Linked DNA regions of Arabidopsis thaliana. The protein of the gene in region 1 interacts with the protein of each later gene in a pairwise test. Each region holds a gene or a part of one and is shown on either strand. Other genes may lie near its edges.

The links.
Region 2: the proteins of MGT4 (region 1) and AT1G70780 interact in a two-hybrid assay, tested with the Arabidopsis thaliana proteins (one large-scale study listed by BioGRID).

Annotation. Positions count from the first base shown.
Region 1 is NC_003074.8:6,817,038-6,825,729, forward strand, and holds MGT4 (magnesium transporter 4), read left to right. Parts: upstream 1-3,888; 5' UTR 3,889-3,931; coding exon 3,932-4,363; intron 4,364-4,649; coding exon 4,650-4,862; intron 4,863-4,940; coding exon 4,941-5,069; intron 5,070-5,215; coding exon 5,216-5,376; intron 5,377-5,452; coding exon 5,453-5,684; intron 5,685-5,779; coding exon 5,780-6,067; 3' UTR 6,068-6,430; downstream 6,431-8,692. Other genes in the region: AT3G19620 (Glycosyl hydrolase family protein), read right to left, coding at 1-50, 148-415, 495-884, 975-1,271; AT3G19630 (Radical SAM superfamily protein), read right to left, coding at 1,639-1,881, 1,971-2,070, 2,181-2,350, 2,703-2,807, 2,940-3,074, 3,152-3,262, 3,383-3,637; AT3G19650 (cyclin-like protein), read left to right, coding at 6,506-6,576, 6,891-7,134, 7,430-7,478, 7,593-8,137; AT3G19660 (uncharacterized protein), read right to left, coding at 8,641-8,692. UniProt on the Arabidopsis thaliana protein: Magnesium transporter that may mediate the influx of magnesium.
Region 2 is NC_003070.9:26,692,896-26,700,046, reverse strand, and holds AT1G70780 (uncharacterized protein), read left to right. Parts: upstream 1-3,654; 5' UTR 3,655-4,071; coding exon 4,072-4,306; intron 4,307-4,397; coding exon 4,398-4,585; 3' UTR 4,586-4,881; downstream 4,882-7,151.

The DNA.
Region 1 (8,692 bases):
TGCATTCTCTGTGTACTTACCTAGAAAATCTCCACAGTTCATGTTCAAACCTGTTTCCAGACAAAACAACATATTTTACTTCTCAAAGATCAAAATGACATATCTAATGTAATAATTGTTTTGAGATGATCATCTAAAGATTTTTGCCTGCTTTGAGGGCGAGAGCAACTGCATCTTCACGTGTCTTGGTGTAATGAATGTCGTTGAAATAGACCTGGATGGAATCACAATCCGAAACTATGTACCCGTCAAGACGCCATTGGCCACGGATAACTCCACGAAGAAGATTAGGGTCTGCACAAGTTGGGATACCATTAACTCTGTTGTAAGAACACATTACGCTGCTCACATCTCCTTCCTCTACACAACTCTTGAATGGCGTCTGATACGTGTCTTCCAAGTCTTGCTTCGTTACCTTCCCACCAAAACAATAACAAATCCATCAACATTAAGGTCAATTATAAGGTCTTGAAACTTACGTATTTATATATTACCTTGGCATCAAAGTGGAATCTATCGATGCCTTTCCAGTTATCAAGATCATAAGCTGTGTAATGCTTGCAACAGCTTGAAACCTTTAGCCGCCGTGATTTACCGGCGTCGTGAACGTCTTGTAAGCCCTTAACGTAGTTCACAGCGTACTTCGAAACAACGAGAGGATCCTCTCCTGGTGTCTCTTGGCCTCGACCCCATCTCGGATCTCTGAAGACGTTAACGTTGGGACTCCAATAGGTGAGTCCAGCTAGTCCTACGTTGTGCATCGCTCGAGCCTCCGTCGATACCACTTCTCCCATTTTTAGCCACAACGATGTGTTAAAGCTAGCCGCCGTTAATATTGTCGCCGGGAAACTCGTCGCTCCAGGCACCGTCCCGTTGAAATGCACCTTAAGAAACAACTCAAAACGTTAGCGTTTTCATTACATAACAACTCATGTATGTTCGTATTCATCTATATACAGTAATGATGTTTTTACCCCTGGTCCAACGTCGGAGACGCCATGGAGAGCTTCCGACCACCACTCGTACGGCGGAACACCGAGCCTTGGAACTCCTGTGGCTTTGTTTACGAGTTGCTGGACTTTTTCCTTAAGGGAGAGACGTGAGACCAAATCTTTGGCACGTGCTTCATACGACAATGAGACGTTGCAGAAACCATACTTAGCCGTCGCTGGGGCACTTATGTCACACGCAAAGTTCTTTTGAGACTCGCAAAGTGATGAAACTAGAGCTATGATTAGCAGAGAGAGACGCACAAATCTTCTAATACTCATCTCTCTGTTTTTTTTACTCTTATGGAATAGAAGACAGAGTGAGGAGCTAGTTTTATAGGCGGGAAGAGAAGCTAATTAGCTACTATTTACTTCATTAAAATTAAAGTTTAACATTTACTTCCAACTTTAACGATGACATAACATCACTTGTTGGTGAATATTTTATAAGAGAAGTTAAACCTCCATGTGATAGTGTGGAAGGACCAAGGACCATCTCTGTTTGTCTTGCATATAAGAGTGAGCCAAGTGTTTTCCACAAAGTGATGAGAGGACAAAATGTGAAGTTTAAGAAAAGGGTTTTGAAGAGTGGCTTCAAAGATACTACACAACCATTCCAAATGTCTGTTTCATGTCTCTGGTCCTAAAGTTAGAGAAGCAGATCTTCTATGTCTCTAAGTTCCACAGTTCCAGGAGTCTTTTTGATGTCTGGTTGGTTCACCACTAGCTGACCGCAAGCGCCGCTAATATCCTGACCCATTTCTTTGCGAATTGTAGTCCGGATCTTGTATGTTTCCCTCAGGATTTTCTGGAATCTTGACACGCCTTGTATGCTGCTTGTTTCGAATTGGCTTGTGGATCCAATTGGATTAAATGGTATCAAATTTATGACCTGTTCAAGAAAAGAGCACAGAGTTTCCATAAAAAATATCATCAGATAATTGCAGAACCTTTAAGAGTATTAAGACATCGAAGATTTACCACTTGAAATGTCTTTAGCAATTCGCCTAGTAGATGAGCGTGCTGCTCTTGATCATTTACTCCATCAAGCATTATGTACTCAATGAAGATCTTTTGTTGACTGTTAAATCCAATGACAATGTGGCATAATGTTATAATCGTCAATGTAACTGAAGGGATTGTGGTTTTAATATTTAACAGCAACGAACCAGTCAAGAGTACATGAACTACCTGTTCTTTTGGAAAGTTTGAAGTGCATCCATAAGCTTTTGTAAAGGAAAGGCTCTAGCTGCTGGCATGATCTGGCAGCGGATTTCTTGAACTGGTGCATGGAGGGATACTGCTAAACTTACACCGGGTAGATCATTGTGTAGCTTGTTAATTGCGTGAACAATTCCGACCTATGCAAATGACATTAGGATACAGGGAAATTTATTTGCTAACTAGTAAAAAAAAGTGTCAACACAGGCAGCATTGCATGATTTAGATTTATGCCTGGAATATACGGTACAAGCATTACGGAAGGACAAGGAAATCAGAAGAAAATCCCAAAACACCAAAATTTAAAAGTAACCAACTAGACAAAAAAAGCTGAAAGATGTCTTGGAAGCTGCATACTGCGAGGTTTAATGGATTGAAGTTTATCTATCAGTTCCCTTTATCAAATTCCATAATCTAAAGTATTCCTACAAAATTCAGTGAATAAGTTTCTCTGTTTTACGAATGTTTCAAGGTAGCTTTCTGAGTACTTACAGTTGATATGGTAATTCTTTTGGGCGACAGCTGAAATGGTTGGTTTAACATGACACGAACAGCTTCAACAACAGCATTGTAGTTATTTAAAGGTTCTCCCATTCCCTGATCACAATCATCAAACCAAGGCAACAACTGGTGAATAAAATTCATCAATGCAGAGTATATAAAATAAATAACCATAAGGCAAGGTGCACATAGTGTAGATAAAATGCAATAACAGAAGCAGAAATATACCATGAAAACGATGTTGCGTATATCAGCAATGCGAGAGGCGTGAACAAGCTGCTCCACAATTTCTCCAGATGTTAAATTGCTTTTAAATCCCATGGTACCAGTAGCACAGAATGTGCAACCCATCTTACAACCAACCTATTGATAAATACTTTCACATCACATGTCTTTCATTCGATAAAACCAAGATAACATTGCGTGATAAAAATCAATACCTGAGATGAAATACATAACGTAGATCTTATACCTCCAGGACGTGGTTTCCCTCCTAACATCCCCAACCGAGTATCGTATCTCATTACCACAGCTTCCACAAAAGCTCCATTCTTCAATTTCAAAACCAAAAGCAAGAATCCAATATGAGTTCGTCAGGAAACAGAGACATTACAAGTTTTTCAGAATCCATAAAAGCAATGTGTTGTATACAGTAACAGAGTATAGAGTACCTGGAGCTTGATGAGAAGCTTTGAGGTGGTGCCATCGGAGGAATGAAATAGCGAGTGAAGAGACGAAGTAAGAGTCTTGAACTTGGAATGGAGAAGAGAGTATGCAGCGGAAGGCAATGAAGGAATCTCGTCCCAAACGCAATCAGGATTCTGAATTACATACTTCCAGATTTGAATCGCGAATTTAGGGTTTATTCCCGCTGATTCAAATTCCGATTTGATTTCCGAAGCATCGAACACCGATTTCAACTTCATCGACTCTTCCTTGGGAATTCTCCGCTCGCCGTCGCCGATTTTAAAAGCCCTAAACTTTTAAAGCAAATCCCCTCCGTCACAACAAAAATTCAAAGAAGAAGCTAAAACCGGTTTGGTTTTTGGTGGAAAATCTAAACCCGGTTTGATTTTGATATTTGGGGGAAAAGTAAAAACCGGTTTGTCTTAACCGTTTTTGTCCTTTGTGGTGGACGAGCCGGAATATAAATTCCCCAATTTTCACTTCCAACATTCCTCAGCTGCTCGATCTCTCTCTGATCACAACAATCATAAGCGATGAGAGGAGCTAGACCCGATGAATTCAATTTTAGTACGAATCCATCAACGCCAAACACTGGTCAGCCGACACCGACGTACCCCGCCGGTGTTGGCGGCGGCGGCGGTGGAAGGAAAAAAGGCGTTGGCGTGAGGACGTGGTTGGTACTTAACTCGTCAGGGCAATCGGAGCCGAAGGAAGAAGGGAAACACTCCATCATGCGGCGAACGGGATTACCGGCGCGTGATCTTAGGATTCTCGATCCACTGTTGTCGTATCCATCTACTGTTTTAGGTAGAGAGAGAGCGATTGTCATCAATTTGGAGCATATCAAGGCAATCATCACTGCTCAAGAAGTTTTGTTGCTTAATTCCAAGGATCCTTCGGTCTCACCCTTTATTGATGAGTTGCAGAGGCGGATTCTCTGTCACCATCACGCCACTAAACCTCAGGTAATTGGAGAATTTAGGGTTTTCCCACTGTTCATTTGGAGCTCTTTTTGTTTATTCAAGGAGTTGGCTTTTGTATTGTCTCCTTTTGTTTGTGCCTAATTGCATTGTTTTGGAATTGGGAAGTAGAAATATTTTCGCTTGACAATGGAATATGTATATAATAGCTAATGTATTGTTGAGACATGGTTGACTATTTGATTTGTGCAATGGTGATGATATGTGAAGATTATGGTTGTCAGTTTAGCTATGGTTGACTATATACTCTCTTTGTATGTGTTGTGTAAAGGAGGAGCAGAACTCTGGGGGAGAGCCTCATACGAGGGTAGATCCTGCCCAAGGAGAAGCTGGAACGGAACAATCTTCTGGGGATCAAGGGAGTGAAGCCAAGAAGGATGCGAAGCAAAGTCTTGAGAATCAAGATGGATCGAAGGTTCTTCCATTTGAGTTTGTTGCTCTGGAAGCCTGTCTTGAAGCTGCATCAAGCAGTTTGGAACATGAGGTAAATACTTATGTTAAGGCTCTGAGACAAAGCATATTTCTTCTCTTGTTTGGTATTTGATTCATTCTTCTAATGTAGGCCTTAAGATTGGAGTTAGAGGCTCATCCAGCCCTGGACAAGCTTACTTCCAAGATCAGTACCCTTAATTTGGAGCGGGTTCGACAGATTAAAAGCAGGCTGGTTGCAATAACTGGACGTGTTCAGAAGGTGCTATGATTCGGACATTAAAATGGCTCCTTTGATATTATGATAAGGATTTATCATGTTTCCTTATAGATGTGAACCTATGACATCACCATATTCTAACCACGTTTGCCTATACTAATAACACTTTTTCTCTTTACATGTTCTAGGTGAGGGATGAGCTAGAACATCTGCTAGACGATGATGAAGATATGGCTGAGATGTATCTTACAGAGAAGTTAGCTCAGAAACTTGAGGATTCGTCAAATTCCTCTATGAATGAGAGTGATACCTTCGAGGTTGATCTTCCTCAAGGAGATGAGGATGACAGGCATGTATCAACTTTCTGAGCTTGCAGTACCTTCTATTGTTCTGATATAAGTTTAACATCTGCCTTTTTACTCCAGGCTTCCTCCCGAATTTGCATCAGAGGCTAACAGAGATGGAAGGTATCTTCAAGCAAATGATGCTCACGAGCTTCTTATGAGTACTCAAAGTGCACTTAGCAGAAATAGCCGTGGGACTCACACAAGCTCAACCCGGAGTGCCATGACCAACAAATTAGATGTGGAAGAGCTTGAAATGCTTTTGGAAGCATATTTCGTGCAGATCGATGGTATACTGAACAAACTATCAACAGTAAGTAAATAGACCAGATGCTTTGGTACTCTTTGTCGTGATGATATCCTTCTTCTAATACATTGTGGTTTTTGTTGTTGTTATGATGAAAAAAGCTAAGGGAATATGTGGATGACACGGAGGACTACATCAACATAATGCTAGATGACAAGCAGAATCATCTTCTGCAGATGGGTGTGATGCTAACAACAGCTACTCTGGTGATGAGCGCCTTTATCGCAGTTGCTGGTGTATTTGGTATGAATATAACCATAGAGTTGTTCACGGATAATAAACATGGTCCAAGTAGATTCATTTGGACTGTGATTGGAGGTTCTATCGGCAGTATATGCCTCTACGTTGGTGCCATCGGGTGGTGCAAGTACAAGCGCCTTCTTGAATGAGTCGACCAACAACATATTGGGAGAGGAGAATAATGTCGCATTGCCACAAATCTATTTAAGCTAACAAGACTTTTATGTATATCCTTTGTTCTTGAGGATCTTTACTACTCTCAAACCTTTTTTTATCCGTCTCCTTCACTATTTGCATTTCTTTCGATTTAATAAAAGAGCAAATTGCATAGTTTCCTTCTTGCTTATTTCGACATCAAAATTTAGATATAGACTGATTAGAGAACCGGATTTTATAATGGTATCGCAGATCGTTTCTGTGCACAATTCTAACTTATGGGGTTTTTTCTGATACTTGAAGAAATATAAGGCGGAAACTGTAATATTGAGGAAATTGACAATTTCTGACGGGAAAATTAGATAAAATGTTGCAGGCAGGCGTGGGAAGAGAGAAGAGCAAAGCCCTAAAATTTCTTCGGTGAGAGAAACATGTCGACGAGGCGAGAAAGCAGAGATTCAGACCCTAGACGTCACCGTTCTAGAATCGATCGCGAACCCAGGTCTTCTTCTTCTGGAGATTCCTGCTCTATCTTCATCTTCTATTATAACTTTGAAGCAAATAAAATTCGGTTTTGAACAACGAGGAAGCTCATAGTGTCTTTTGTCTAGAAATCGAAATGAAAGCTGAATTTAGTGTTGAAGTGATTGTTTTTTGAATCATCCTATGTTGATCTGTCTACTCTAATTTGGTCACATTCACTCTCGAACAGTGGAGATTTTTCTGAAGATGGTCAATTTTACTGATAGGCACAATTAGTTGATTTTGGTAGCTTATCACAGTTGTACAACTAATCATTTATGTTTTTGTCTTTAGCCCTAAGAGATCAAGAAGAGATGGCAAACCTGAAGCTGAACGAGTTCTGAGTAAGAAGGATTTGGATGTTAGAGATGGTACTGACACTGAGAAAAACTCACGTCAGTCTTTGAGAGATGCTCCATTGGAACTTGATGCTCATGGTTCGAGAAAAGACAGTGAGAAGAAGCACTCTGGACATCATGAGACCACCAAAGCAGCTCCCCATCTGTCACAAGTACCTCGTTCTAGACCATATTCTCAGGTTCCAAAACAACCTTGATTATTTTCCATCTGATAACGTTCTTTTTGTTACTGTCCTTAGTAGATGTGTGGTCATAGGAGGTCTTGCAAGTTTTTGATCTGCTGGAATGAAATGGCTAAAAGAGTTAATATTTGGCCATTTATCTGCTTGTTAAAAATCAATTGCTGGGTTGCTATTTACTGCATAGTTAGCCTTTAATCTGTGCTCATGTGATGGAATTATTGCATACAGTTGAATGCCTCCCAATGCTCAGTCATATGTAATCTTTGGCTTGCCTGTGCGTGTCTTATAACAGCATGATGATCGTCGTAGTGATGGAAAAGTTGATAGAAGACCAACTTCTGGTAATTCTCGCCAAATTTACTCTTTCCTTCTCTTCATTACATAAGCAAAAATATATGTCTTTAATAATATTGGTAGGTCTTATGAACATATTACTTGCTTTTAAATGTTTGAAGTGAGAGGATCGTGGAGAAGTTCAAGAGATCAGAGTAACCGAAGAGCTGGAGATGATGAGAAGTCACAGCATCGTAAAGACGAAGACAAAAGCTCATGGCGACATGATAGGTTCCGTGAGAGTGATGACACCCAAGGAGCACTCTCTAGGAAACGACCAGCCTTCAGGGAGAAGAAGATTGCAGAGGAAACTGGGAACAACACAGACAGAACAAGAACTGAGGATGGAAAAGACACTAATCTAAACAATCGCAGACAGAACGAGAGGAACTGGAGGAGCAATACGCATTCAGAAAGACATGAGAGACCAGCAATGGGAAGAGACAGAGTGTGGAACAGAGATGATGAAAGAGGCGCGGGAAGCAGACAGAGTTATCAAGCTGATAGAGACAGATTCAACGGCAATGGGCGAAGTGGGTTTAGCGGAAGCTGGACAAGGAATGAGAAGAAATGGGACCATGACTTGTTCGATGAGGCGAACAAGAGTCCAGCTAAAGCCACCGAGGAAGAACAGATAGCTAAAGTTGAAGCTTTGTTGGCTTCTTGAAGCTGCTTATGTCATGGTTTTTGGTATGTATTCACCTCTACTATTAGAATGCCTGAGTTTGCAAGTGTAGAAGATGATTTCTGAGTTTATACATATAATGAAACTCTCCTCTTTTTTTCCAAGAAAGCTGCATCGGTTTAAACTTCATAGATATTACACTCTAAACCGGACTTTTCTTGGGGTTACACGATTTCACTTAAAACTCCATTAAAGTAAGACTGACTTGCCGACAAAAAAAAGTAATATGGACTCAAGAATCAAGATCCTATCAGTAAAAGTCAATTATACTGGATTTTAATATAAAAAAAAGAAGGATCCTTGTTTCATCGATCAATCATATATGTTTGATGTTTCTATAATGTTTTTCTTTTATTTATTTCCAGAAACTATACATATTATCACAAACATGATCTCCTGAATCAAAAACACCAAATCACTGAACGAAGAACAACAAAAAATGATGGCAAAATATGAGAGAAAAAAAAGAAGAAGAAGAAGTATTATTAGAAAAGAGTTCGTTTGCCAGGACGATCAGCGACCTTTAAGGTCTTATCG
Region 2 (7,151 bases), on another chromosome or scaffold:
TTCATAGAAACATGTTCAGTGAAAATATTTTTAGTATTCAATCATTTGACTTCTACTATTTATTTGACATATAATTAAACTCATAGATGTGTTAACATACATAACCAAACAAAATTTGTTAAAACCGTGACATATGGGCTAAACATTCCATTTGATTATCTTAAATTTTGAAATTTTAGTTTTATCACGCTAAGTTCCGTAGCAAAAATCTAATAATTGTATATAAAATTGAGTATTTGATCAATAGAATGAGTAATAAACAAAACCGATAATTTTTTAGGTATTTTGTCACGGCTGAATTAGTTTTAATTTTTTATTCGGTAAATTTTCTATTTTCTATCATGTTTTATATATATATATATATATATATACATTTTTTAATAGAAAAAATCCTTTTATACTTTTTTGAGAACGACTGAAAACTGAGGATTCTAGTTGGGTGAATTGATAATAACTAGTGGCGAATCTTAGATGCGACTGACATTTAGAGTTATAAGATATTGTATAATATGGAGCAATTGGTACGATATAGACTGAGATAAGTAAAATAACGTGTGTCATGTTGAAGTTCATGGACCTACCTCTGAATCTAGAAGAGTTGGCGTATAATTGAAATCAATGGACAATGAGGAAATTTGGGAATCTGGCTAGTCGCTAATTGAACAGACACAGAATGGCTGGTCAATAATTAAAGAGGAGCCGTTTCCCATTTTATTTGTTCGTTTCCTAAATCCTTATCGTACGTTTGAAATAAAATCATAAGATTTATATAAACACAATGGTTGTGCCAAAAAAAACAATATATGGTCAGCTCAGCTGTCACATTAATTAGGTTTTTTTCTATGGATGAAATTAATTTGGAATAAGCTATTCAAATTTTTAAATGACCTGTTATTACTTATAGGGTATAAATACTATATGCCCACTCCTTTGTCTTTGACTGAGGGAATACAAATCCTAACCGTATGTGATATTTTAAAATCTAAATGTATTAGATGTGGATAGATATACAGATATTGTAAGAAAATATCTTACATAAAATAAAACACTAACCAACATGTAAATAACTAAATATATAAACCAAAAAAAACAATTTAAATTGAAATCCAAACAAATCTAGATGTCCGTATAAAATCACGTTTAAAAATTCTAAAAGTTATCATCAGGTGTGACACATGTATAATCAATTGTATTATCCAGAACAATGAGTTGATGTCAATGACTCGATGCTATGAGCTTATGAGTAGATCATACAATGTGGACACGACAACCTAAATTTAACAAAGGATATAAAATTGTGAACTGTTTTTCTGCCAAGGATTTAAAATTCATTTAGCGTTGTAATTTGGTACACACATATACATATTAATAAAATCTACGGCATATTATTAACGAGGTAATCAACATTTAGGGTATAAATGGTTGCAAACACGATCAATCATACAATTAGGTTAACCGGTTTGTGACACAATGGGCGACTCAGGATAAGACATGGAGGAGGAGCTGATATGATAAGACGAAGTTAGGTGATATATATAGAGATGTACCAGAGATCATAATGCATATGAAATGAGATCGATAGCTGTCTTCTCTTAAACTGAATTACGACCTCTCTATACTTCTGGTCCTATCCGTGAGTCATGTGCTCTCTGTCTTTAGTCATAATATGATTTTGAATTGGCTCTGCACCATTCAAGATCATGGCCCATTATGGTTCTCTGCACCTGATTCTGTTTCCATAATAATTCCATTTACCTACAAGGCTATACATATAATTTATTAGTATAATAACCATATTATGAGAAGATTAATTATACTGTTCATACGGCAATTAAGATATCGATGCGAAAGGATTCGTGATCTTTATAGAGTTTATATTCCGCCGTTGCTAGCTAATCATGTTTATTTTGTTTCTCTAGTACTTAACGCGTTTGTCAATTTATTAAATTCGATTAGCTAAAAAAAGGATTTGACTCAATTTCATCTTTAGAGACTTACAAACCAATTTATACAAATCAATTTTTTATAGATGTTACATTTTTTCGTTCACATTAATGACAGGTTTTCTTCTTTCTATGACTTAAATCCACCTAACTCCAAAATTAAATCCCCAATTCATGTTAAAGAAGTGAATTTCAACGCTTCGAAAAGTTAATAAAAGACAATGAAGAACATACATGAAACATGCTTAGCGCCTAGCGGACGAGCCTCTTAATTAGAACCAAGTCCTTAGAAAATTACAAAATTTTAGGTATATGCCAAAAATCAAACTAAAGTTGTCGATAACCATGATAAATGTTGCGTATATCTATCTAAGAAATATCACGCCTAAAAGATAAATTTTGGTACAACTCTCCTCAACGTTCATTTTTTTAATACTCTGAAATACCACAACTATATTCCATATAGATGAGGTTTGAGGTTTCTAAGACTTTTAAAACTTAAAGTCCTAGAATTAAAGAAACGTGTAACCTTTCAAGTTTAATATGGGGGAGGTTTGGATCGGCGGAAGCTAAAAACAGCAAGGATCAGGACAACAATGGCCTAACGAATGACACGTGATGCTCTTTTCATGTTGCTCAACTTCGATAGCGACCGTTTTTCTATTTTTATCACTTTCATATTTTACCCCCAAGAAAAACAAAAACAAGCGAGTCCGATATGTTTAAGAGTCCCAACCTAAAATCTATTTTCATCACCTTCCCTATATAGCCCGCACACCGCACACAACTAATACCTCAAAATATTAATTTGTTTGTGTTTGCGCTTGTTTTTATGTTCTTAACATCAGGGTAAAATGTATCTTATGTGATTAGTTTTAGTGGGATACTCTACATAGCATTCACATGTCTATTAGTTTAAATACGTGTATGTCAATCTAATGATACAATTCAGTTCGCATGACTTGCAAAACATAAACGTAAAAAGCAACACATATGAACCACTTACCACAATTTTCGCTACAACTTTTTCCACCATATTAGCAAAAAAAACAAGGGCGAATAACATTCATTTGGTATAATCCATAACGATCAAATTATCGATTATCATCACTACATTTAGCTAGAGATTTTCTAGCCTTTCTATTTGCCAAACCTTTTAATCCATTCTTCCTTTTAAAAAAAAAATTATTTATTTCTTTTCAATTTTTATGAAAACCGTATCTTTAACTAATTGTTATCCTTGCTAATACATGCATCAACATTTTCTTAAAGTTTTTGGTAAAATTAACACATAAGAAATAAGAAATAGTTTTCTTCTTTAAACTCGTCCTTATCACAAATTTTAGATTGTATGATATTAAATTCGATCTTATCTTAAATACTTTAAATAACGTTTTATTTACTCTTCTCATATTACAAATTTACTACACTGTTGCTTTTCTATGTTTTACAATTATATTTAGGAGATCTTTTGTTGTATTATCAATACTCTTAGATATTCATTTATGTAGTTAAAATTTATTAAGATTACTTAGATTTTATTGAGCTTTGAAATATATTTTAAAAAAAAACTTTTAATTACACGTTGGTAAAAAAAAAAGACACGTATGCAAAAGCACCAAAAAAGGTAAAACCGGAAAAATTCTCAAATTTCAAAATTACCCAAAAAAGCCTTTAACCTAACCACCTTACTTTATAAACAACCTCACCGTCTCTCTTAGCTCACCAACAATCACATTCTTCTCCCATAAGAAAAAAAAAATAATCAAATCCTCCTCCTCTGCTTCACCACCAAAAAGCATATTCTTCTCTCGTCTTCTCCGGTTAATCAAAATCTCTCCGTGTGAATCGTTTGTGAATGGTGGAAACTAATCCGATCGGTGGTAAGTTTACGCTCTCCCTTTCCATCAAAAGGGCGAGCTTTTCTCTTCCTCTCTCGACATCCTCTGTTTTCGCTTTCGGATCTTGCAAAGAAGGCTGGTACTTTCGCTGCCTTGGCCTCGACCCGTGAACGATTCGCCCCTAAAATTCACAACCCGGAACCCTAATTTCCTAAAAAGTGGTTCTTTTTTTATTGATTCTGTTACTTGTGAGATTTGCTCTGTTTTTTGTTCTCTCGATTTCGAAGATGTTGCTCTACAACAAGCAGAAGAAGAACCAAAACGCTAAAGGGAATAGGATTCTCATTAGCGTTACGGTTTTGGGTAGTGCCGGTCCGATCCGGTTTGTTGCTTATGAGGATGATCTTGTTGCCTCTGTTATCGATACTGCTCTTAAAGGTTACGCTCGTGAAGGTCGTCTTCCTCTTCTTGGATCTGATTTCAATGATTTTCTTCTCTATTGTCCTATGGTTGGACCTGAAGGTAAACTAAACTCAATTCCAATGTCTTTTAGCTTTATGTGTGAATGATCTGTTTAAAGAATTGGTTGACTGATGTTGTGTTTTGATGACAGCTTTAAGCACATGGGATGCAATTGGATCTCTTGGAGCGAGGAACTTTATGCTCTGTAGGAAACCAGAGGAGAAGAAGGTTGAGGAAAGTAATGGAAGATCTGACTCTACCATTAATGGTGCAAGAAAAGGTGGAAGCTTGAAGGCTTGGATCAACAAATCCTTCAATCTCAAAGTCTCAAGCCATTAAGATTAATTTTCTTCTCTTTTTTATGAAATAATAAGACCAATCTTTGTTTTATCATCATTATGTTCTTTGTTTTTGGTTTTGATTCCAAAGTTTGTTATTTTCATCTTTCATTCATGAATAAAAGTGTCAAATTCTTCTGGATTTTGCACTGTTTCAAGTGTTGAAGTTGGTTTCTTTTGATGCTTCTTCTTGCAAGTTGTCCAACTGAGGAAATTTGTCAGCAAATTGTGTACTTTCTCTAGTACAATTCTGTATTATTCGTCTCGTAAAACACGTTTTGAAATTATTGTTACGCAATAACAGAGCTCTGATTAAAGTGATAGTTGTATACTTGTATCCGTGAAGAGGAATAATGTTAAGGTATATACTTTTTTAATGTTCTTGTCTTAAGGTGTCAAGTTGTGGAGGAGACGTCATTGTCGAGAATCCAAAATTAAAAGTGTTAAAAGTTTGATTTTGATTAGAAAAAGGTAAACAAACTTTGCGACAGAAGAAGAAAAATAGAAGAAAGTACAAATGAATGATGATAAACAACTAAAACTACTACACAAGTTCCGTACCAACTTGTACTCTTGCCTCTCTACAAGTGTTGTTGCCGTGCTTTACTTCTCTTCTTCCTTATCATGAAAACGACACACTATTTTATTTACTAGTTACTACACGTCTCGCACACCACACTTTCCTTATCCAACGCCGGAGGTTTCTACACACTTCCATAAGTCATAAAAACAACACGGTGTTTGTCTCACTAACTATGACCATTGACCAACCATGCACATCATACGATGATAACGATGATGAGATATTTTCTAAATGCCACGTGTATGTCACATTTCTCTTTTTGTTTTAAGTTCGAATTGGATCGTGGCAAGGTAATCATGGTAAATTGTTAGGCCAACGCTCTCGGTTACATGTAATCATCCTATAGTATACGATTTAACTCGAACAGAAACAAAAGAAGTATCTGTTTTTCTTCTTCTTCTGATTGAATAGTATATAACATATACTGTACTTGTTTGTTAAAACATGTTATAAATTAGTATTTAGATATTCGGAAACTAGAAATACTAGCTATGGCCAAAAGAAATAAGTTTATAGTTAGACTTACATTTATTATGGGCTTTAAGGCTTCAATCCATTGACGTCAAAAGAAAAAATCCATTAGATGTTTGATGGGCCGAATGACTAAAAACTACCGGCCTCAATTTGACCAAACTATTTATTTACACAATTAATAAATGAAATTACTTTGTGTAAAAAAAAAAAAAATGATGTACAGAATTTAAAAGTGCTCATGAGAAACATACGTTTCAGTTTTCACTCTCAAAGGAACACATTTTTGGTCAACTCAGTTCAGTTAGTTTGAAGACTTGAAGTTAAGAAAACTAAATTCAATCGAAAGGAAAAAAAAACTTTTTCACTTTTAGTTTCTTTTACTTTTTCAGACAGCTTCGTGACAAAACAATATAATTGGTTACAACTGAAAAACAATCAAAAAGAAGTTTGATGAACATATTTTGAAAAATGAGAAAGAAGGGGGTTCAAATGTTAGCTTTAAAAAGATTCATATGAGACGACAAAAAAAAAAAAAAGAAAGATTCATATGATTTTAATGTGAATGTGATCCGCAAATAAATAATCTAATGTTTTTTTAATAGTACAATGGTATCTTACAAAATTAAATGCTATTTATTCTATAGAAAACTTATTTTTGCTAAAAACGTAAGATATACATTTCTAAAAAACATAAATTTATCTAAAACCAGATTGGATTTAAAAAAAATAGTAACAAGTATTTGAACCTAAAAAAAAAAAAAAAAAACTCAGATAAACAGAAATCACCTTTAAAATTACTTGATGTTTTTTCTTCTTCTGTTAATTATACAAATGTTGTATTACTAATTATACTTAAGCTGAAATTAAACGGGATTGTGGTTGGAGACTTGGAGTGTGTGGGAAACCAATTCGCTTTCAACATGCAAGCATGTAAGTATGAATGCTCTCATTATTATCACGTTACGTTCGCCGATAATAAATGTATTTAATTTGTAATACAAGTATAATTAGTGGTAACGAACACATTACACATGAACGGCTATGTTACTTACTTGGCCATTAATTCCGTTGACCTTAAGAGATGGCATATTTATGAGTTTCTTTGACTATTTGTATATCGACAACTTCTCCACCACCATAGGCACCACTTTCCATTTTCTTTTATGCCAAAACTATATCAGCCCACTTAAATCAATATTTTATTCACTTTTATTTATGGATTTATGAATCACACAATTCTCCACAATTCTAAAATTAATAAATTTTGAAGAATGAACATAAAAATTTGTTAACATATATCATATATTACTTGTAGATCCTTCTTTTTGGAATAAAATAAAAGTGTTGTTAGCGTCAATATACTTCAACTTTGTTAAAAATGAGTAAATGACCACAAATTGTGAAGGAAAAAAAAGTAGACTTGATCTTGATTTGTCGATTGTTGTCTTTCTTCGGTGTGTTTATGATTACCTAAGGTGACAATGAATTTGAAGGATTTCCAAAACTAGAG